Callithrix jacchus: one gene and its partners. The protein of the gene in region 1 interacts with the protein of each later gene in a pairwise test. Links are inferred from orthologs where the notes say so. Each region holds a gene or a part of one and is shown on either strand. Other genes may lie near its edges.

Evidence for each region.
Region 2: the proteins of RBM10 (region 1) and RBM12B interact in a two-hybrid assay, tested with the Homo sapiens proteins (3 studies listed by BioGRID). The link is inferred for Callithrix jacchus from reciprocal best matches to the Homo sapiens genes RBM10 and RBM12B.
Region 3: the proteins of RBM10 (region 1) and CPSF7 interact in binary tests that used the Homo sapiens proteins (3 or more experiments, as listed by UniProt). The two-hybrid records come from large-scale screens. The link is inferred for Callithrix jacchus from reciprocal best matches to the Homo sapiens genes RBM10 and CPSF7.
Region 4: the proteins of RBM10 (region 1) and SF3B4 interact in binary tests that used the Homo sapiens proteins (3 or more experiments, as listed by UniProt). The link is inferred for Callithrix jacchus from reciprocal best matches to the Homo sapiens genes RBM10 and SF3B4.
Region 5: the proteins of RBM10 (region 1) and CEP70 interact in binary tests that used the Homo sapiens proteins (3 or more experiments, as listed by UniProt). The two-hybrid records come from large-scale screens. The link is inferred for Callithrix jacchus from reciprocal best matches to the Homo sapiens genes RBM10 and CEP70.
Region 6: the proteins of RBM10 (region 1) and THAP1 interact in binary tests that used the Homo sapiens proteins (3 or more experiments, as listed by UniProt). The two-hybrid records come from large-scale screens. The link is inferred for Callithrix jacchus from reciprocal best matches to the Homo sapiens genes RBM10 and THAP1.

Annotation. Positions count from the first base shown.
Region 1 is NC_133524.1:48,143,153-48,146,756, forward strand, and holds part of RBM10 (RNA-binding protein 10), read left to right. Parts: intron 1-2,214; coding exon 2,215-2,364; intron 2,365-2,461; coding exon 2,462-2,527; intron 2,528-2,599; coding exon 2,600-2,788; intron 2,789-2,874; coding exon 2,875-2,949; intron 2,950-3,219; coding exon 3,220-3,326; intron 3,327-3,408; coding exon 3,409-3,538; intron 3,539-3,604. UniProt on the Homo sapiens protein: Binds to ssRNA containing the consensus sequence 5'-AGGUAA-3'. May be involved in post-transcriptional processing, most probably in mRNA splicing. Binds to RNA homopolymers, with a preference for poly(G) and poly(U) and little for poly(A).
Region 2 is NC_133517.1:33,452,917-33,456,520, forward strand, and holds part of RBM12B (RNA-binding protein 12B), read left to right. Parts: coding exon 1-1,566; 3' UTR 1,567-3,604.
Region 3 is NC_133511.1:118,415,448-118,419,051, forward strand, and holds part of CPSF7 (cleavage and polyadenylation specificity factor subunit 7), read right to left. Parts: intron 1,128-3,604; coding exon 713-1,127; intron 324-712; coding exon 205-323; intron 1-204.
Region 4 is NC_133519.1:9,855,978-9,859,615, reverse strand, and holds the end of SF3B4 (splicing factor 3B subunit 4), read left to right. Parts: intron 1-2,427; coding exon 2,428-2,601; intron 2,602-2,711; coding exon 2,712-2,899; 3' UTR 2,900-3,121; downstream 3,122-3,638. UniProt on the Homo sapiens protein: Component of the 17S U2 SnRNP complex of the spliceosome, a large ribonucleoprotein complex that removes introns from transcribed pre-mRNAs.
Region 5 is NC_133518.1:45,826,154-45,829,757, forward strand, and holds part of CEP70 (centrosomal protein of 70 kDa), read left to right. Parts: intron 1-829; coding exon 830-1,000; intron 1,001-3,604.
Region 6 is NC_133514.1:44,607,827-44,612,011, reverse strand, and holds the start of THAP1 (THAP domain-containing protein 1), read left to right. Parts: upstream 1-1,326; 5' UTR 1,327-1,595; coding exon 1,596-1,666; intron 1,667-4,185. UniProt on the Homo sapiens protein: DNA-binding transcription regulator that regulates endothelial cell proliferation and G1/S cell-cycle progression.

The DNA of each region.
Region 1 (3,604 bases):
CAAGGGAGATGGTGGGTGGGTGTGTACGTGGGCAGTGACTGCTTAGCATACCATGCTCCTCTTCCAGCTCTGCTCTTTGCTGAATGGCCTTGAGCCACAGCAGTCTCCTCAGTGCATGGCAGGGTTGCCCAACTCCAGGAGGTGGCTTGTGCCATCTGAGCGAGCCCTGCCATGTTTCTTTCCCATGGTGGGGACCCTCACATGCTGCTGGTGGATGTATATATGCGCCAGAGAAATTCTCACAGGCCCATAACGGGGTGGGCAGGAAAAAGGCCCTGCAGTGTTTTGGGGAGGTGGGCAGATGAGGGCACCTCAGTGTCTCTCTGTGGAGAAAGGTGTCACCCTGAGCGTAGCATTTACAAGCAAGCACTAAGTGTTCCCTCAGCAACCTAGTGAATTCTAAAAATGGTGCTGTGCTGGGGGGAACATGGAAATATAGAATGTGGCACTGTGTCACACATATAAATTAAAATTAGACACATATAACATTCCTATGCATTTTAAAATGACAAAATGGAAATGCACAACAAATGTGACTGTGTGGGTATGTGTCAGGGGAAGGGGAATGCCTTCATTTGCTGCTCTATAACAGTACCACAGACTGTGGGTAATTTATAAGGAAAAGAGATTGATTTGGCTCACAGTTCTGTAGGCAGGGTGAGGGCCTCTTGCTGCGTCACATCATGGCAAAGAGCAAGAGAGCATGCATGAGACCAAGAGAAAATTGGGCCAGACTCCCCCTTTTTATCAGGAACCCAGTCTCAGTGATAGCATTAAATGGAGACTCAAAAGGTGGAGGAGGTGGGAGGGGGTGAAGGATGAGAAATTACTTAATGGATACAATGTGCATTGTTCAGCTGATAGATGCTCTGAAAGCCCTGACTTCAACAGTATGCAAGCTGTGCATGTAACAAAAGCACTTGTTACCCCATAAATCCATACAATTAAAAAAAAAACAGCCGTAATTTCTTCAGGAGGGCAGAGCCTTCATCTCTTTTTTTTTTTTTTTTTGAGATGGAATCTCACTCTGTTGCCAGGCTGGAGTGCAGTGGCGTGACCCCAGCTCACTACAACGCCTGCCTCCTGGGTTCAAGCGATCCTCCTGCCTCAACCTCCCAAGTAGCTGGGGCTACAGGTGTACACCACTATGCCCAGCTAATTTTTGTATTTTTAGTAGAGTCGACCTTTTGACCTTGTGATCCACCTGCCTCAGCTCCCAAAGTGCTGGGATTACAGGTGTGAGCTACTGTACCTGGCCAAGCTAATCACCTCTTAAAGGCCTCACCTGTCAACACTGTTGCATTAGGGATTAAATTTCTTTTTTGACATGGAGTTTTGCTGTTGTCGCCCAGGCTGGACTGCAATGGTGCAATCTCAGTTTACTGTAACCTCCGCCTCCTGGGTTCAAGTGATTTTACTGCTTCAGCCTCCTGAGTAGCTGGGATTACAGGCATGTGCCACTATGCCCAGCTGATTTTTTTTTTTTACCAGAAATGGGGCTTCACTATGTTAGCCAGGCTGGTCTCGAACCCTGACCTCCGCTGATCCACCCGCCTCGGCCTCCCGAAGTGTTGGGATTACAGCCATGAGCCACTGCATCTCACTGGGATAAAGGCTCCACCTGTCAACACTGTATTATGGATTAAATTTCTGACACAATAACTTTGAGGGACAAAACTGTAGCAGAGAACACAGCCAGAGAGGGGCTTGACAAGAGGCACTGGTGACAGAAAATAGGAACTTGCACTACCATGTTCCTCACCTTCTGCTTGTTCTGCCTCAGCTTCCCCTTATCTCCCTCTTAGATGGGCTCACCAGTCTGCCCACACTGCTTCTGCTGCCTCACCATTGCAGACCAGTGAGGGTGGGGGTACGGGGTGTGTTCAGTGATGAGGTCAGGAGTAGCCAGGTGCCGAATTCCTTGCAGGCTGTGAGAGTTTGGGTTTATTCTAGGTATGATGGGAGGCCGAGGAAGGGTTTTAAGGACATTGTATTTGGGGGTGGGAATGGCTTATACTTTGTAAAAGAGTGCTCTGTTTGGAGAGGTAGGTAGGAGCCATAGCCCGGAGGCCAGATGAAGCCTTTTGCAGTGGTTCAGACTAGGTATGGTAGCCGGCCCAGGTTTGAGGCTGCAGGGCAGTGGGTCAGCAGAAGAAGTTAGTAGCCCCAGAGGCATGAGGGTTCTGGGAACCTCACCTCCACCCTCACCCCTAGATTGCCAAGGACATGGAACGGTGGGCACGCAGTCTCAACAAACAAAAAGAAAACTTCAAAAATAGCTTCCAGCCTATCAGCTCCCTGCGAGATGACGAGAGGCGGGAGTCAGCCACTGCAGATGCCGGCTATGCCATCCTGGAGAAGAAGGTGTGTTGGAGCCACCCCCCTGCACTTTGCCTCACAATCTTGTCCTTCCTTTGGGCCCTCTGTGGAGTCCCTGAATTTCTATGTCCCTCCACCCCAGGGTGCACTAGCCGAGAGACAGCACACCAGCATGGATCTCCCGAAATTGGCCAGCGACGACCGCCCAGTGAGTGCCCAGGGCAGACGGGTGGGGGCTCTGATCTGGCCAGGCCTGACTGCCCACTCTTACCCTCTACAGAGCCCTCCGAGGGGGCTGGTGGCAGCCTACAGCGGGGAGAGTGACAGCGAGGAAGAGCAGGAGCGCGGGGGCCCTGAGCGGGAAGAGAAGCTCACTGACTGGCAGAAGCTGGCCTGTCTGCTTTGCCGACGCCAGTTCCCCAGCAAAGAGGCACTCATCCGGCACCAGCAGCTCTCGGGGCTCCATAAGGTAACTGAGCAGAGGGTTGGCAGGGCACACTGGGGCAAGGCCCACTGAGGCTCAGCCTCTTCACTTCTCACTGTCCCCCCTTGCAGCAAAACCTTGAGATTCACCGGCGAGCCCACTTGTCAGAAAATGAGCTAGAAGCACTAGAGAAGAATGACATGGAGGTGAGGTGTGACCTGCTCCTGGGCCCCCTCCCCTCTGTCCCTTCCAAGTCCCCATCACCTCAGGCAGCTGGAGTTCAAGTTCTCACATGCTAACCCCATGAGCCTTCCCCATTCTCCTACCCTGGCTGCTTGTGTCCATGATGGCCTGACCCTTGGGACCTGAGCCTCATTAGCCAGATGGGGTGCCCTGTGGGACCCCAACCCCATGCCTGTGTTGCCTGAGAAAAGCAACCAGCTCCCCAGCATTCACATACACGTACAAATTTTCAGCAAATGAAGTACCGGGACCGTGCAGCTGAACGCAGAGAGAAGTATGGCATCCCCGAGCCACCAGAGCCCAAGAGGAGAAAGTACGGTGGCATATCCACAGCTTCCGTGTGAGTGGCTGGGCCAGGTGAGGGGATCTCTGGGGTCTGGGGCCTACGTGCCGACCACTCATGCTGTGCACTGCCTCTGCAGAGACTTCGAGCAGCCTACTCGGGACGGGCTGGGCAGTGACAACATTGGCAGTCGCATGCTCCAGGCCATGGGCTGGAAAGAGGGCAGTGGCCTGGGCCGCAAGAAGCAGGGCATTGTAACGCCCATCGAGGTGAGTCTCAAGCAGTCCCATCCCACCCCCCAGCATCCCTCACAGCATCCCCCACCAGCCTGACAG
Region 2 (3,604 bases), on another chromosome or scaffold:
CAGGAGTTTGGTGTAAATTTTTCCTTGATGTCCAGTGAGAAGATGCAAGCTCGTTCACAGTCACGTGAGCGAAGTGATCATTCCCATTTATTTGACTCAAAAGACCCACCAATATACTCAGTTGGTCCTTTTGAAAGCTTTAGACATCAGCTGGAGGACCTGAGGCAACTGGATAACTTCAAGCATCCCCAGAGGGATTTCCGGCAGCCTGACAGGCACCCTCCAGAAGACTTCCGACACTCCTCAGAGGATTTCAGGTTTCCCCCGGAGGACTTCAGGCGTTCCCCAGAGGACTTCAGGCGACCTCGGGAAGAGGACTTCAGACGGCCTTCTGAGGAGGACTTCAGGCGCCCTTGGGAGGAAGATTTCAGGCGCCCTCCGGAGGATGACTTCAGGCACCCTAGGGAGGAAGACTGGAGGAGGCCCCTTGAGGAGGATTGGAGGCGGCCACTGGAGGAGGATTTCAGGCGGTCTCCCACGGAGGACTTCAGGCAGCTTCCTGAGGAGGACTTCAGGCAACCTCCTGAGGAGGACTTCAGGCGGCTCCCAGAGGAAGATTTCAGGCGGCCATCCGAGGAGGACTGGAGACGGCCCCCAGAGGAGGACTTCAGGCGGCCTCTTCAGGGAGAATGGAGGCGACCACCCGAGGATGACTTCAGGCGGCCCCCAGAGGAGGATTTCAGGCACTCCCCTGAGGAGGACTTCAGGCAGTCACCCCAGGAGCATTTCCGGAGGCCACCTCAGGAGCATTTCCGGCGGCCACCCCCGGAGCATTTTCGGCGGCCACCCCCGGAGCATTTCAGGCGGCCACCCCCGGAGCATTTCCGGCGGCCGCCCCCGGAGCATTTCAGGCGGCCGCCCCCCGAGCACTTCCGGAGACCGCCCCAGGAGCATTTCAGGCGTCCGCCTCAGGAGCATTTCAGGCGTCCGCCTCAGGAGCATTTCAGGCGCTCTCGAGAGGAAGATTTCAGGCACCCACCAGATGAAGACTTCAGGAGCCCTCCCGATGAAGACTTTAGGCACCCACCTGATGAGGACTTCAGGAACCCCCAGGAGGAAGATTTTAGATGCCCTTCTGATGAGGACTTCAGGCAGCTCCCAGAGGAAGACCTTAGGGAAGCTCTGGAGGAGGACCCTAGACTTCCTGACAATTTTAGACCTCCTGGTGAGGATTTTAGGAGCCCGCCTGATGATTTCAGAAGTCACCGCCCTTTTGTGAATTTTGGTCGCCCAGAAGGTGGCAAGTTTGATTTTGGAAAGCATAATATGGGAAGTTTTGCTGAGGGGAGATTTATTCCTGATCCAAAGATAAATTGTGGTTCAGGTAGAGTAACTCCTATTAAGATAATGAATCTTCCATTTAAAGCTAATGTTAATGAAATTTTAGACTTTTTCCATGGTTACAGAATCATACCTGATTCAGTTTCAATACAGTATAATGAGCAAGGCTTACCTACAGGGGAAGCCATTGTTGCTATGATAAACTATAATGAAGCTATGGCTGCTATTAAAGATCTAAATGATAGGCCAGTTGGGCCCCGAAAAGTTAAATTAACTTTGCTATAGAGAGCATTTCTAAATTCAGTTATCTTCCTTGCAGTATTGATAGAGTAAAATACATTTGTTTTTAAAAGGTGTTTTTTTTTTTAATCTAGTGAAGTGTTTTAATTTTGACCTGTGAATAGAACAAATGTAAATAGTAGAATGTGAATCTGGTTTTCTTTTGCTTGCAAATTGCCATTCATTTTTTTTCTAATTTAAAATTATACATGCTGTTCTTTTCTTTGATGGTGAGAAAGAATTCCCTGAGTTCATTCATTTTTGTTGATGTCATGGGTAAGCTTCAAGACTCACTGAAGTAGAGTTGTATTTGGGGAAGTTACATTTCACTTTTTTTTCATTCTGTAGTCTACATTTTTTACTCAAACTATGTAAGGAAATAGTGACTGACTGTTCAGGTTTGGCATTTTCATTGCTACCTGCCTGCAGAATTAACGCCCTCTTTCTTGTCTGAGATATTACTGTGTTAAGTGTCCTGTTAATTATAAATAGTTCAAAATGGACAGTCAACTTGAAATTTACTTATGTAAAAAGCTTAGGTGATTCTTAGGGTTTCCATGTTCAAAACTTTACAAAGTTTTATAAAAATAAAATTGCAACTTAATAGAGCAACTAATTAACTTGTATTTGTATAAAAAGAAAAAAGAATTGCAGCTTGATATTGTGAAGTTTTTCAATAGCTTTATTAAACCATATTTCTGATGAGAGGGACCAGACATTCTATAATAATAATGTATAGTGCTGTGTGTAATCCCATGGTTTCTTCGACATCTTAACAAAATAAGAATAATACAACATATTCAAAAGACAGTAAAATAAGAATCTAATTGTAGGTGCAAGGGGACTCGGGCTTATGCTGGGAAGAATCTGACAAATGGTAGTTTGTTTTTCTAGGAAGAATCTACTGATGAGTCACATAACTTGCATGTAATACTAGGTTCTCATTTTTTAGCTTCAAAACTTTGTATCCATGCAAAGACTCCATAACTAAGACTTGTGTGGTTGAATTTTGACTTCTTAGATATTCAGCATTTAGTGCATACATTTCTCAGATAGGAAATTTGATTTTCTATACCCATAATAATATTATGGCTAACAGGCACTTACTATGTGCTAGGCACTGTAAGCACTTTATATGCATAATCTCAGTATTCCCTATGAGTACAGGGTTAGTTATTTACCTCTGTTTCACAAATGAGATAATGAAGTGGGAGATTAAGCAACTTGCTTGAAGTCACAGGTATTAAATCATGGGGCCAATTTCAACCCAGACCACTGACTCCAGTTCATGCTTACCTTTGTTGCCTCACTTTTTTAAATGGTATTTTAAATTAGGAATCCATGCTAAAAGATAACTTGCAAAGATAAGTGATATTTTCTTATTTCAATTATTGGTTTAAAATTAGCATTAAAAAAGGTAAAACCAGCATGCTCAAACATTGTTAATTGAAAAAAAGTGAGTGACTTTAAAAGTTTCTTTATATTCAGGGTTTCTCTGGGGATACTCACATTGTATATTACTGGCTTCTGTTTCAGAATTGTTCATTTTATTTGACATGATTGACTTTGGTTGGCCTTTTATAATTTACATAAAACATAATTTTCCTCAGTTCTGTAATCCAGATTTAACACGTTGAGTAAATAAGAATACAGTTAAATTTACATATGGTAATTTAAGGATATTGCATAGGTAGAACACTTTGTCAGTAATTAATCAGTTAGTACCTTATGTATTTTTGGTGTTACTTTTCAGTGATTTAAGGAAATCTAAGAAAAATCTGATTAAATTTCTTGGTTTTAAATAGTGAATAAACAAAATCTGTTCACTATAGAATGAATAAACAGGTAAATTTGATACAAAAAAGCACCTCAGTATGATTCTTGATAAGCTTGTAAGTAGCTAGGATAACGTTAAATTGATTGTTTGGAATATCGAAACCAAGCACAGTGAAGAAAGAAAGAAATATTTTTAATTGAGCAAAGATTGTATAGATGGTTCATTTGGTCAGCCATCTTGAATAATATATGGAAAGTTAAAAAAGAC
Region 3 (3,604 bases), on another chromosome or scaffold:
AAGTTGGTTTTCATGAGGGCAGGCCTAGACACAGGAGCTTCCTCAAGGCCAAGAAAGCAGGTTATATATTGCTTTTCCAAGTGTGCCACCTTGATATCTACAGCACTCCAACTTTATCTTGTTGAACTTCTGCCAGTTGGAATGACAAAATAAGGAAAAAAACTAAAGGTTAAGGAAAAGGCAGCAAAGGTAAGCACGAATTACCTGCACTGGCTCCAGATACCGCTTTGGAAATGGCACTGCTGGAAATTGCTCTGTTTCGCTTCATGATATCTTCAAATTCAGCTTCACTCACTGTAGAGGGTGGAGGACCCGAATCTCGGCTGTACAAAGAGAATACCATCCTTGATTGCTCACACCTCGTTACTGTTATGGTATTCTACAATACTTTTGTAATTCTGGCATAATATAGAACAATGTTAGTCATCTGTAGCATTCATAGCAGCTGCCTGAAGCATTTAATTTAATTAAGCACCTTAAAGGGGGATATGAGGGACATGGTTTGCGTCAAGTGGTTAACATGCAATACAAACATGAAATAAAAACACTAACAAACAGACAGTAAACTATTTCCCAGGAATCAATGCTATGACAACAGTGTGTCCATAAGGGAAAGAGCAAGCAATCAGTGCTCACTTTCTCAGGGAGAATAAAATGCTTAATACATTTATTTACCCTGGCTCAGATCTGAAAGGAACAAGATAGTCCTTACCTGCCATGGTGGTTATAGGGGGCAGAGGCCTTCATGTAAGTATCTGGTGGAGGCCCCACTGTAGCGTTTGGTGGGGGGAAGAAGGCTGGATTGAGGTGAAGGGCAGGTGGGATGGCCCCAGGGGGAGGTACAGCAAGATGAGGAGGTAATCGAGGAGGTGGGGGCATGAGATGCTGGTAGTGGATACCAGGAGGAGGAGGAGGGACCCCAAAGCTTGAGGAGAGAGGTGGTGGGGGTGGAATTGGTGGTGGAGGCAGACCCATCAGGGGAAGGGCTGAAGGAGGACGATTGAAGTAGGGCAGCACACTGGGGGGCTTATCCACACGAGCAGATGAGGGTACTAGGTTCTCAGAGGGTGTGGCCCGTCCATCAGCAGAATCACTAGAATCTCGAGAATGGGCCCGTGGAGGTATTCCTATGAAGCAAAACAGAACTAACGTTACTGCCCAGGCTTTATACAAACCCATAGGACCAGCTCATCCTGCAGGAGTTATCAGACACCATACAGAGGAAGCTGACTAAAGTGTCTGAGAAACAAGGTAAAATCATCTACTGCCTTTTCTTTGGCTTCAGAGGTCAGAAGCAAATCAGTGAAGATATATATCCAAAATACAATATTGTCCTAAATCCTGTCAAAGAATGTTTTTCATCCAGAACTCCAAAAGTACTTCAGAACACATTTAATTCATCCTTACATATGTGTTCTATTTTTAAATGTAGGATCCTAACGGCCCACAAGGAAATGACAGTGTTCACTGATGTTCAGGTAAATTGCAGTTGACTTGAAACCCCATATCTCCTGAAGAGTTAAGGATCTCTCTCCTTAGACTAATACTAGTTAACCTCTTCCTGCTGCACACTTAAAATGTTCTCTTTGCCAAGGGGCATTGAATAGGGAATTTAGGGGAAGAGAAGGAGTGGCAGGAACTGAATAGCACTTATATTTACATACTAAAATGAGTAATCAGGGTGAGAAAGACACACACATGAAAAGTAGACAATTGGAGGTTAAGAGAAACTTGGGAGATAAGCCAACAAAAGATCTGCCCACAGAATGAACAGATGGCACATAGCTGACAGTAAGGATGTTTAGCAAAAGCTTGCTACAAAACAAGTCTCAAATCTGGGGAACTCCCGTTACATTTCAATGGCCAAAATCTTCTACAACTCAGGGCAGCCTACTAGAAACACCATCACCTCATGGTGATGTGCACAGTGCAGGAGCTCAGACCGTGTTTTAAACAGCTGGAAGCATGGCTTCTGACACTGTCATGTCACTTGGCTAAACTTGCTCCTCTCCAGTTTAATAGTCTAAGCCTGGTTAATGGGGAATCCAACAGAAGAACAGGATCACATGGGCTCTGTAGGGGTCTTGGAGATAGAAAGATGCCACTGGCATCAGGTGTGGAAGGAAAGAGTGCTCCTTAAATTAGAACATGACAGTTAACCCCAATTCCTGAGTAAAGCCTAAGGTGGAATCAATTATGTTGACAACCACCTAGATTTTTGTATTACAGAACAATGCCAGTGCTGTCTTGTTCTTCATGTCTCAAACACATGGCAAATGGCTCTTTTTTTTTTTTTTGGAGACAGAGTCTTGCTCTGTCGCCAGGCTGGAGTGGAATGGCACAATCTCGGCTCACTGCAATCTCCGCCTCCTGGGTTCAAGCCATTCTCCTGCCTCAGTCTCCAGAGTAGCTGGGACTACAGGTGTATGCCACCACGCCCAGCTAATTTTTGTATTTTTTAGTAGAGACGGGGTTTCACCATGTTGGCTAGGTTGGTCTCGATCTTTTGACCTCGTGATCCGCCTGCCTTGGCCTCCCAAAGTGCTGGGATTACAGGCGTGAGCCACTGCACCCGGCCGCAAATGGCTCTTTCCTAGAGTTCTCTTAAACTGAAGAACAAAAAGGTATTAGGCAAGTGTAATCTGACAGCTAAACACCTTCCCAGCTACTACCGTTTTCACATTTGCAAGGGTTCTATTTTGTATCTATGGCTGTAAGTCCCAAAAGAGGCAACCGCTTTTATGCAGAGGAAGCTCACCAGCTTTACTTAGTAAATTAACAGAGGCTAGGTCCATCAACATGACAGAGAAGAAAAACAGCACTCAGTTACCACAATCTTTTCAGCAAAGAAAGGTAACATGAAAAGCAGCTGAGTAGAAGTAGGAATGTTACTCCCAATACAGCTGTAAAGTTACACACCTAAGGAAAGCCAGGGGTGAATTACAGAGAGACTCCAAAACAGAGGGTACCTGAAAACATGACTTGTCAAGGAAGAAAAGTGTGTCCTTTCTAACATGGAGCAGTAAGAATTCACACCAAATCTATCAAGGCTGTCAATCTAGTTAAAAGAACAGCTGTTCCTATGCAGGAGCAAAGTGGCCTTATTTCTACCTGGAGGATACACGCAATCAATACAAGACACTATTTTGAGCCTGGATCCAAGCAGCAACAGAACATTGGTGATGAAACTTTGCTGTTATTTCCCTTACAGCAAAAGAAAATAAAGGTGGTTGGCTGTTTCAGGGAGGGCCTTGTAAGGTGGCTGCACTTTATGAGGTCAGGAAAATCCAAGGTCTGGTCCTTAGGTTCAGAAACTTGCTTCAACTGGGGTGACTGGGCCCTAGGAGCCTAATTCATGCTAACCAAACTCACGAAAGACTGATTCATAAACCAGAACACAATTTATTAATTTACAATGAGAAATATAACTGCCCAAGCAGACCAGTATACTTGTTGGCCGGTCAGCGCATTCTCTTCCCAGTAGGAGAGCCTAATTGGTAAACTAAATTAACATCAGAAAGGGGCTTAGTGAGTACAGTCAGAATAAAGGGAGTAAGATGAATGTAAAGGAAACTGTCATCAAACTAAGGTAGTCTGATTTAAC
Region 4 (3,638 bases), on another chromosome or scaffold:
CTCAAAAAAAAAAAACCAACCTTGTCTCTTTGCTTCTTCTTTTTTAGATCCTCCCCCTCTTTCTCTGACTCCTTAATCTTAGCTACCACAATAGACTTCTGTGGACTTGGGCGTAGATTTTTGTGCTTTTCTTTTCTGCATATATGTGTAGTTTTATGCCTCCTAGATCTGTGTCTCTAGTTCATAGCTGTTAACATTCCAGATCCTTAATGCTGCTGCTTAATAGATAGTGCCACCTTTCTATCCCTCTCCCTCAAACCTATTCTTCCTCTAGTATTCGTTTTTTCCAGGTGCTTAATTCATGAATCTGAGAGCTATGTTTGCTGTGACTGTGGGGAGTATTACCTCACTCTTTTTTTTTTGAGACGGAGTTTCGCTACCCAGGCTGGAGTGCAATGGCGCGATCTCGGCTCACTGCAACCTCCAATTCCTGGGTTTAGGCAATTCTCCTGCCTCAGCCTCCTGAGTAGCTGGGATTACAGGCACACGCCACCATGCCCAGCTAATTTTTTGTATTTGTAGTAGAGACGGGGTTTCACCATGTTGACCAGGATGGTCTCGATCTCTTGACCTCGTGATCCACCCGCCTCGGCCTCCCAAAGTGCTGGGATTACAGGCTTGAGCCACCGTGCCCGGCCTTTACCCCACTCTTAATACTGAGTCTTATTTATGTCAGTGGCATCTCTCCCCATGGCCAGTGCCCCAGTTGAGTCTCATTCCTTCATTTTACACTTAATTTACTGTAGTAATATCCGGCCACTTTGACTCCAGTTTTCACTAACTTTGATCTACTTTCACAGAGTAAGTTTTGTAAAACACAGATGTGCACATGCATGCTCAGAATTCCTCTTTTGCTCCCTTTTACCTACAGAGTAAAACCCAAACTCATTACCATAGCATTCACAGCTCTTTATGGTTTGGCCCCTGCCCCTCATTTCCATAACTGCATTTTGCTCCTGATACTGAGTTACTGGCATATCCTGGAACATACTGTGCTGTTGGAGACACCTGTGATTTTTTTTTTTTTTTTTTTTTTTTTTTTTTGAGACGGAGTTTCGCTCTTGTTACCCAGGCTGGAGTGCAATGGTGCAATCTCGGCTCACCGCAACCTCCGCCTCCTGGGTTCAGGCAATTCTTCTGCCTCAGCCCCTGAGTAGCTGGGATTACAGGCGCGTGCCACCATGCCCAGTTATTTTTTTTTTTATTTTTTATTTTTTTTGTATTTTTAGTAGAGGTGGGGTTTCACCATGTTGACCAGGATGGTCTTGATCTCTTGACCTCGTGATCCACTCACCTCGGCCTCCCAAAGTGCTGGGATTCCAGGCTTGGGCCACCGCGCCTGGCCCAATTTGTGCATGGTAGGCTTTCTGCTTGGGTGCTCTCTTTCCACGATCTTATCCTCCTGAAATATTCGTGCTTTAGAATCAGATCTTTGCTTAGACAGTATGTCCTCTGCTACTTTCTCAAATCCTATCAACAGAGTTATCACTCTGCTTGTTATGTACTTCAGCATTACCATTACAGTGCCTAAGTCACGGAAGAAGCAAGCAAAGACGGTAAGGTCTTGAGTGATTGATTGGTTTGTGCTGTTGGAATGGGGTCAAGGATAGGGCGCACTTTTTACTACCCTTCCTTCCCTCCCTCCCTCCTTCCCTCCTTCCTTCCTTTTTTTTTTTTTTGAGACGGAGTCTCACTCTGTAGCCCAGGCTGGAGTGCAATGGCCTGATCTCGGCTCACTGCAACCTTTGCCTCCCTGGTCCTGGTTCAAGCAGTTCTCCTGCCTCAGCTTCCTGAGCAGCTGGGATTACAGGCATGCACCACCATGCCTAGCTAATTTTTGTATTTGTAGTAGAGACGGGATTTCACCATGTTGGCCAGGCTGGTCTTGAACTCGTGACCTTGTGATCTGCCTGCCTTGGCCTCCCAAAGTGCTGGGATTACAGGCATGAGCCACTGCACCTGGCTGTTTTTTTTTGTTGTTGTTGTTATTTTTTTTGGTGACAGGGTCTCACTCTGTCAACCAGGCTGGAGTGCAGTGGCATAGTCATGGCTCACTGTAGCCTTGGCCTCCGAGGCCCAAGTGATCCTCCCACCTCATCCTCATGAGTAGCTGGGACTATAGGCACTCACCACCATGCCTCGCTAATTAAAAAAAATTTTTTTGACAGATACGGGGTGTTACAATGTTGCTCAGGCTGACCTCAAACTCCTGGGCTCAAGTGATGTTCTCACCTAGGCCTCCCAAAGTGCTGGGATTATTGGCATGAGCCACTGCCCAGCCAGCCTTATTTTCTGGATCCTGTTTTCTATATAGTCCTCTTTCTGATGTCACTTTCTTTCTAATTTTGTTCTCTTCCTTTCTCCATTTTCTTTGCCCTCTTCTCTATCTTTGTCTCTTTTCTTTTTGTGTCTGTTTTATTTTCATAGGGATGACTCAGATGCAGCTGGCACACCATGGCCCTCATGGCTTGGGACATCCCCATGCTGGACCCCCAGGCTCTGGGGGGCAGCCACCGCCCCGACCACCACCTGGAATGCCTCATCCTGGACCTCCTCCAATGGGCATGCCCCCCCGAGGGCCTCCATTCGGATCTCCCATGGGTAAGTCGGCTCTAGCCACCTCCTTCACCTGCACCTAACATGTTCTAACAACTTCCTGTAGGTACACCCCTGTCCCAGGCCCTTACTAACTTTTCTTTCACTTCTTGCAGGTCACCCAGGTCCTATGCCTCCACATGGTATGCGTGGACCTCCTCCACTGATGCCCCCCCATGGATACACTGGCCCTCCACGACCCCCACCCTATGGCTACCAGCGGGGGCCTCTCCCTCCACCCAGACCCACTCCCCGGCCACCAGTTCCCCCTCGAGGCCCGCTTCGGGGCCCTCTCCCTCAGTAAATTCACATTTTCCTTCCTCCTGTTACATCTTCCCAATATCTTTTCGATTCCTTGGACCAATCAGAGATGCTGTAGCTCCTTGGGGCTGAGGCACTAACCTCTTTGAGCACCCCACCCCATTCCCCTTTGTAATGTAACTTTCCACAGGAGGTATTACTTTTTTATGTTGGTTCTGAGTATTTTGCAGATGCACAGAGAAAATAAAACTAAACTCCTTGTGTAGTTGTGGTGTTTGCCTTGACAGCAGTACCTTTTCTCTTTAAGAAGAGATGTCATTAGCCAAGTGTGGCACAGGCCTGTAGTCCCAGCTACTTTGGAGGCTGAGGCAGGAGGATTGCTTGAACCCGGGAAGCAGAGGTTGCAGTGAGTTGAGATCGGGCCACTGTACTCCACCTGGAGTATAAAAATGTCAGAAAAGCTGTCAGAGTATCATGAAAAGAATGGTAAGGAGGAGTAGGAGCAAGGGTGCTTACTCCACATTTTTTTTTGTTTTTTTTTTGAGACCGAGTCTCTGTCACCAAGGTTGGAGTGTACAGGTGCGATCAGAGCTCACTGTGGCCTTACCTCTCAGGCTCAGGTGATCCTCTCATCTCAGCCTCCCAAGTAGCTGGGACCACAGGCATGTGCCACCCAGCTAATTTTTGTATTTGTACAGATGAAGTTTCGCCATGTTGGCTAGGCTGGTCTTCAACTCCTGGGCTCAAGCAATCCCTCTGCCTTAGCCTCCCAAAGTGCTGGG
Region 5 (3,604 bases), on another chromosome or scaffold:
GGCTCAAGTGATCCTCCTGCCTCAACCTCCTGAAGTGCTGGGATTACAGGCATGAGCCACCATACTCAGCCTGAGGATTACTGTTAATTTCCTTAAATCATCTGATAATGGTCTTGTGAGTTTGTAGGAGAATATGCCCACTTTTAAAAGATGCATACTTTATTATTTGAGGGTGAAGAGTTAGGATGTCCACATTTTCTTCAAATGGTTCACCTAGAAATACAGATAGTGAGCAAACATGGCAAAATACTAACAATTGTTGAACCTAGGTAGTGATTATATGGGTGTTTGTAATAGTTAATTTTGTTTTAAGTTTACTGGGGCACAGGGTGCCTGACATTTGGTTAAACGTTATTCAGATGTGTCCGGGAAGGTGCTTCTTGATGAGATTGACATCCGAATCAGTAGACTTAGTAAAGCAGACTGCCTTTCCTAATGGGGTGGGCCTCATCCAATCATTTGAAGGCCTGAGTAGAACAAAAGGCTGAGTAAGAGGAAACTCCTCCTGCCTGACTGCTTTTAAGATGGGACACTGTTTTTTTTCTGCCTTCAGACTCAAACTGAAACAGCACTTGCAGGGATCTCAGTCTGCCTGTGTTCAGACTGCAAATATCCATTAGCTTTCCTGGGTATTCTCTTCCTCACTGCAGATCTTGGGACTTGTCAGTCTTCATAATTGCATGAGCCAATTCCTTATGATAATTCTCTTTGGTATATTTAATGAAATATATATATGTAATATATAGACATATAAAGCACACCATTAAAATATATAACTTTGCAGGCATAGGATAAATATTTTGACTAAATACACTGTTTTTTTTTAAAGGTGCTATGTAGCATCAACTCAATTATCCACAATCCAAGAGCTCCAGTAATAATTTATAAACAGAGCAAAGGGGGATCCCAAAATTTTAATAAAGATCTTGTTCAAGATTGTGGATTTGAGCATCTTGTTCCCATAATAGAAATGTGGGCAGATCAGCTGACATCCCTAAAGGTAAGGGGTTGAATATTATTTATATGCTTTGAATATCTATTAAACTCTATGTGCTTTATTAATATGACTTAATTTGGGGTGAAAATTAAATAGAGCTTAACTTTTGTGTTAACTGTAAAGATGAAAAAGCTTATCTAAAACGGAAATCTTCCTATTTACATATCTGTTTTAGGTACTGTCTATTTGATGTTGTCATTATTGTAAGCTTTACCTCCTCTAAGGTTCTACCAGACAAGAAATTTTTGGGCTAATGCCCTTATTGAGAATCTGTAGTGGATCCACATTGTACTTCTAGGCCCTTCCCTATTCTACCTTCATCTGCCTCCTGTTGCTATCACGATGCCACGATTTTCTTGGCGCTTATTCCTCCTCAGATATAATGTCTTATCCTTTATTTCATTATAATTGGGGATATTTTCTCCCTCTTCACACTTTATTTTCTGTCTCTCAGAACTGAGCTTATCTTCATCTCTGCTTATTCTCAAGAACAAATAGTAACTCTATCTTTCCCTATCCTATTTTTTCGTGGAAGACTACATTTTATTTACTTTATAGAGCTATTGTGTGTTTATTGCGTAGCTTCAGGTTTTTTCAGTTTTTGTTAACTAGTTTGCTGAAAAGTAAATAGTTGAAATTAGTAGCATTTAACTTCTTTGTCCTTTAAACTTTAGATTTCTTAGTAACTAATATAATACATAGCATATGTCTGTTACTGAAAACCTGATTCAATGACAGTGTTTGCCACAGAAGTCCTATTACATGAAGTACAAATAATGCAGAAGATATCTGTTAAGAATGTATAAGCTCCATGAAGACAGTGTTTTGTCTTATTTGTTCTCTGGCACATCCCCAATATCCTCCTGATGCATGAGTGCGCAATTAATATTTGTTAAACTAATAAAGCAGAATAATATATTCCAAGACAACAAAATTGGGAGTGGTGATGTTAATTTTTTAAAAATTTCTTTTTATATAATTTTTTTTAATTTATAAAAATTTTCCTTCTTATATAGGGCTCAGACAGAGCTATACAATACATAGACATTTTGATTGAGTGACAATGCTGGATTAATATACTTACTTTATAGGCTGGAGTCCCTCCACTCTGTATCTCAGAAGAGGGTAAAATAATTAGTAATTGTGTAAATCATTGTATTTCCTCAATCGGTGCCCGTCAGAGGGTTCTCCCAGTAGGAGGGAACAGTGCTGACTCTACCTTTGTCTTTCTCAGAAGGGATGGACTAGAAAAGGCCCTAAGACTAGAGACGAAAAAGACAAAGGGAAGAATCACATTAATGGATACTTACTGTTCATTTGCCATGCTAAGCCATTATGGGATAAACACAAGATTCAGACTAATTAGACAAAATATACTAAAAAATATGAAACAACATTTAATCATTTATAATATCATTAAAAGAAATTAGTGACATAAAAATCAATTACCTGTGATTAAGTTCTAAGTGAGTGATGCAGATAACTTGTGCTCTAGAGTCTGGAGGAGAAAGAGAACACTTTGATTATAGCCCCCAAGAAAGGCTTTGCCATGGTGGTGAGTTCTTGCTATTGTATAGTTTTCTGAGTGGGAGGAGGCAGGAATTTGCTTTATATTAGAATATTCTGAGGGCACCTAAGAGGAACTTATTAGGAATTAGTTACTCTGCCATTGAAGTAACTCATGGATTTTGAGCAGTGCCTCAGATATTAATAATACTACAGTTTTAGGGTCCAAATTAAGAAACTACATGAGATTCTCCGAGGTCTCTTATCAAAGGTTATTTATAACGTAGCAACCTCTACGTTTGGGACAACTATCTTCCCAAATTAGTTTTTTTCCCTTAGGTTAAATTTGGCTTTAAAAAGTAGGATAGGTGTGAGGGATGAATGGATAAGCAAAATGTGGTATATACATACAGTGCCATATTATTCAGCCATAAAAAGGAAAGAAATTCTGACCCATGCAACATGGGTGAACATTATGATGACATTATGCTAAGTGAAATAAGTCAGTCACAAGAAGATTCCACTTACATAAGATACTTAGTGAAAATCATAAAGACAAAGTAGAGTGGTGATTACTAGCGGGAGGAGGAAATGGGAAGTTGCTGTTTAAAGGGTGTAAAGCTTCAGTGTTACAAGATGAAGAAGTTATGGAGATGGATGGTGGTGTTGGTTACACAACATTATGAACATTTTTAATAACACCGAACTTACATTTAAAACTGGTTAAGATGGTGAATTTTATGTCTATTTTACTAGTTTTGAAAATTGGAAGAAAAGAAAGCTGGGAAAGACATGGAGCCAGCTGCCTCCATCTTTCTGTCTTTTCCCTCCTGCCTTTCCAAGAAAGTGAACTACAGATGTTATAGCTTCCCCCAACCCAGTACACTCTTGAATACTTTGACTTTCCTATTCTCCAGTGCTTCAGAGGCCAGACATACATGGTAGGCCGGCCCATGGTAGTACTTCTACGTCTCCACAACTAGGCAATGTAAAGAACCTAGGAGACCCTCATATTTTTCAAAGCTTACTTGATGAACTGCTACAACCATCCTCTCACTGCTTAGGAGACCAGAACATCTTTTTCTTAGCTTTGTAATACTC
Region 6 (4,185 bases), on another chromosome or scaffold:
CTCTGTTGCAAGGGTTTGTGATAAATGATTAATTACTATATTATGTAAGAATCAATATCATCTTTATGAGACAGTCTCACTCTGTCACCCAGGCTGGGGTGCAGTGGCATAAACATGGCTCACTGCAACCTCCACAGGATCAAGTGATTCTCCTGCCTTAGCCTCCAGAGTAGCTGGGATTTGAGGCATGTGCCACCACATCTGGCTAACTGTTGCATTTTTAGAAAAGAAGGGTTTCACCATGTTAGCCAAGCTGGTTTCGAACTCCTGACCTCAGGTGATCCGCCCACCTCGGCCTCCCAAAGTGCTGGGATTACAGGCCTGAGCTACTGCGCCCTGCCCAATAAAGCAAAATTAGGAATGCTTCTGTTCTCAAAATATCAGGATATCTGGACACTTGGAAGTCTGGGTCTGTTTAGTAAATATTATCAATCTGTTGCCTTAACTGTAAACATCTAGAGACTAGGAATACCTAACTTTCTGGGAATGCAGCCTAGCAAGTCTCAGCCTCATCTTCCTAGCCCTCACTCAACACAGAGTGGCTCCAGTTTATAACCCCTCTGACATAGTCTCTCTCAGATGTGAAAAGTTGCTGCAGCACCTGGAAATCACAGCAATGGACATCCCTTCATAAAAGCTTCTGGAGAGGGCCTGGTGGTTCACTCCAGTAATCCCAGGCCACTAGGAGGCCGGATCCCTTGGGCTTGAGTTCTAGACCGGCCTAGGCAACGTGGGGAGACACCGTCTCCATTTTTTAATTATATATATATATGTGTACACACGCATACATATATATACACACATACATATACATACATACATATTATAATGCTTCTGCGTTTGGCAACTGAGATTATTTGGTGAGTGTGTCTTTCTTCATTCCTAAAAACCTGTCACATTGCTCTCACAGAGCTTTGTGATACCTGAAGAGGCAGGCAATGGGATAAAGATCAGCATTCTGGGAAAAGGTTCCACAATTTTATTAATTATACACGATCTGTGCCTGCCCTTTTAAACAAATGGGAGGAATCAGACAACGACCTCGGCTTTACACCTGTTCTCCAAGAGGCCCCAGTAGTTTCCTACTCTAAGCCGCCCCAGGAAAGCTCCAGATCAATTAATCCGCCGGAACAGCCCGGGGTTTGAGGTGGCCCCTGGAATCCGCCCTCCCGCCGCACCTCCTCCTCCAAGCAGTTCCTTCCTTCCGGCCAGAAGCTCAGGGCTCCGCCCACTTCCGCAATTCCGAAGCCACCACCGGAAACACCTGGCCTCAGCCAATAGTCAGCTTCCCAAGGAAAGGTTACCTCTGACCTCAGAGTAATCAGAGACAGTGGGACGCACCCCTCGCGATAGGTGAGGTTGAAGCTGCCTCCGCCATCTTGGAGATGGGAGAAGGGCGATGGCTGTGGTCCTTCTGCTAATGCAAACAACAAAACGGGCACACTAGTCACTCCCGAGGGAGGCCACCATCACTGTAACTGTTGGCCAAAGCTACAAAAGAAACGAGGGTGTCCAACCGAGCGCGGCGACACTGAAAGCAGCTTCCCCTGCCTTCTGCGGCGGCAGAAGTGAAGTGCCTGAGGACCACCGGAAGGATGGTGCAGTCCTGTTCCGCCTACGGCTGCAAGAACCGCTACGACAAGGATAAGCCCGTTTCTTTCCACAAGTGAGGACCCTGCGCACCTCGTGGGGCCGGTCCCAGCCGGGGTGGGGGCGCGCGGCCGGCGGGGCCGGGGGCGGAGCCAGGCGCGTGTCCGCGCGAGGGGCGGGCGGGGTCTGGGGCCGGCCGCGCGGGGCGTTTCCCGCCGCGTCCCGTGGGGAACCGCCGCCCGGCTGCGCGTTCTCGGCGCGCGTCGCCGTGAAGGCCGTTTCTTGCGCTCCTGAAGCAGGCCCTGGGTGCAGGCTTCGCTCGCGGCCTGGGTTGACGACTGCGGAGCCCGCGGGCAATGCCCCGGGTGGCGCGGATTTTGCCAGCACCAGGGTCACAGACCAGCCAGGTGGAATAACGTCTTAGGGGTGAATTTGAAATAGAAACAAAGGCCTTTAAACGAAGAAATTACTACCTTTTTCGCCCTTACGGTGGATGGGAAGCCAGCATCGTAGCAATTAAGGGTTGATTTTTTGCCTGGGAAATCAGGGAGAATTTTTGCCCCCAATCTCTAAGAACTAAGCTTTAAGGACCCTAAGTTTTGGAGAAAGCTTCAGGTACTGCCAAGATAAATCGTTCTTTTCAGCCCACAATATTGATAATATGGACAGTTACAACATGGATCATAATAAAATGGCTCACACTGACCTTTATTTATTATGGCATTACGTGTGCATAGAGGAAGCCCTTGCGGAGGAAACTCACCACAGCTTTCAGAGCTGTTTTATCCAGTAGATAGCGCAGTTAAGAGTGCTAGGATCAAAAATATTCTCTTGAAAATGGGAAAAACGTGCAAAGTTGAAATTACTATCAAACGCTTGTAAAATGTGACATAATATTTTCATTCATCTGAATTTTAATTACATTTATGTTAAGTTTTCTTTGCAAGATTTCCTCATGACTATACGCGGATGATAGCTAAGAAATCAGATCCAGGGGTAAACTATACAAGTTAGCCATAGGTAATTAGCTAATTATCTTTTATAATTAGGTAAGTAATTACAAAAGCAAAATGTTAAATAGTCTTTAAATTTATTTATATGTTTTGGTGTGGGGCCATCTATGTTTACTAGAGGAGTTTCCATGCATTTTTTAAATGTTTGCTATCATGTGAGATGGACCCTATAGAAATAAGAGTGTGTAGAATATAGGGAGGTCTCCAGAGTAATGATGTTACCCCCTCGAAGTGGATAGAACATGTTCAGGATGTCCCAATATTATCTCTTGATTTAATTGGAATTTCTGTAAACATGTACTTTAAAAATGTAGGAATAGGTCAGGTGATGGTAATAGGATTACATGCACAGCTCCCCAGCCCACATTTCTGATGGCGTGGCAGAAGGAATCATAAAATGGAAAATGTTTCATCAGCACTGGAAACTAGTTAAGGATGGTATTCACAAGTCAGAAGTAACTGTGTTTTTGGCCAGGCGTGGTGGTTCACGCCTGTAATCCCAGCACTTTGGGAGGCCAAGGTGGGCGGATCACCTGAGGTCAGGAGTTCGAGACCAGCCTGGCCAACATGGCAAAACCCTGTCTCTACTAAAAATACAAAAATTAGCTGGGAGCGGTGGTGCACGCCTGAGGCAGGGGAATCACTTGAACCCAGGATATGGAGGTTGCAGTGAGCTGAGATCTCGCGCTGCACTCCAGCTTGGGTGACAGAGGGAGACTGTCTCAAAAAACAAAAACAAACAAAAAAACACTGTGTTTCTACTAGATGTTAAAACAGATGTGAATTGAATCAAAAGAAGGGCTAACCTGAACCTTATCCCTTATCTAAAAGAGCAGGTGTTGGGAGAAGATGGGAAAGATCTTAACAGAGAAGCTCACAAACAGCTGTAAATTTATTGTCCTTGAGACAGGAGGCCCTGCGTACTGAATTTTACCAGCTAATGCTACCATAGTTTATACCTATAGAGGCCATTTCCAGCTGAGATATTTTAGTGGTAACACTTCTCCCAGCTTCTACATAGTGGCAGTAGAGAGAGCTATGTTGTACAAAGAAAAGGGACTCATAAAGATCTCTTAATAGCAGAGTGAAGCTCTAGCATACTGAACATGGAAGAGAAACTGTAGAACATAAATTCACAATGTTCTTCTCTTTGTTTTTTTTTTTCTCCTAATCCCCCCAGTTTACCAGATCCTTAACTTGGAAGAGTAAAACTAATAAATGTAAACTCTCACTTTCCTCCTTTACCTGAGCCTGATGGACATCCCAGTTGATTAGAAAATACTTTTCTCTCATCATTACCTGCCTTTAATTTAATTCAAATTTAACCTATTCATATTTGTCAGACTGATGCTAAAAGAACTAGAATAGAAGCCTCTTTTTCCCAGTACATAGATACAAATGTGCAATCTTTGTCTTTCTGTGCAGCACACAGAAAATTACTGGTAAAAAATAAGAAGACAGATTATTTTTTTCTTTTTGAGACAGGGTATGGCTCAAATATATCTTATATTTATCAAATATATCAAATATATCTTATATTCACTTATATTCAAGTGAAATAATCTTGGCTCACTGCCCCCTT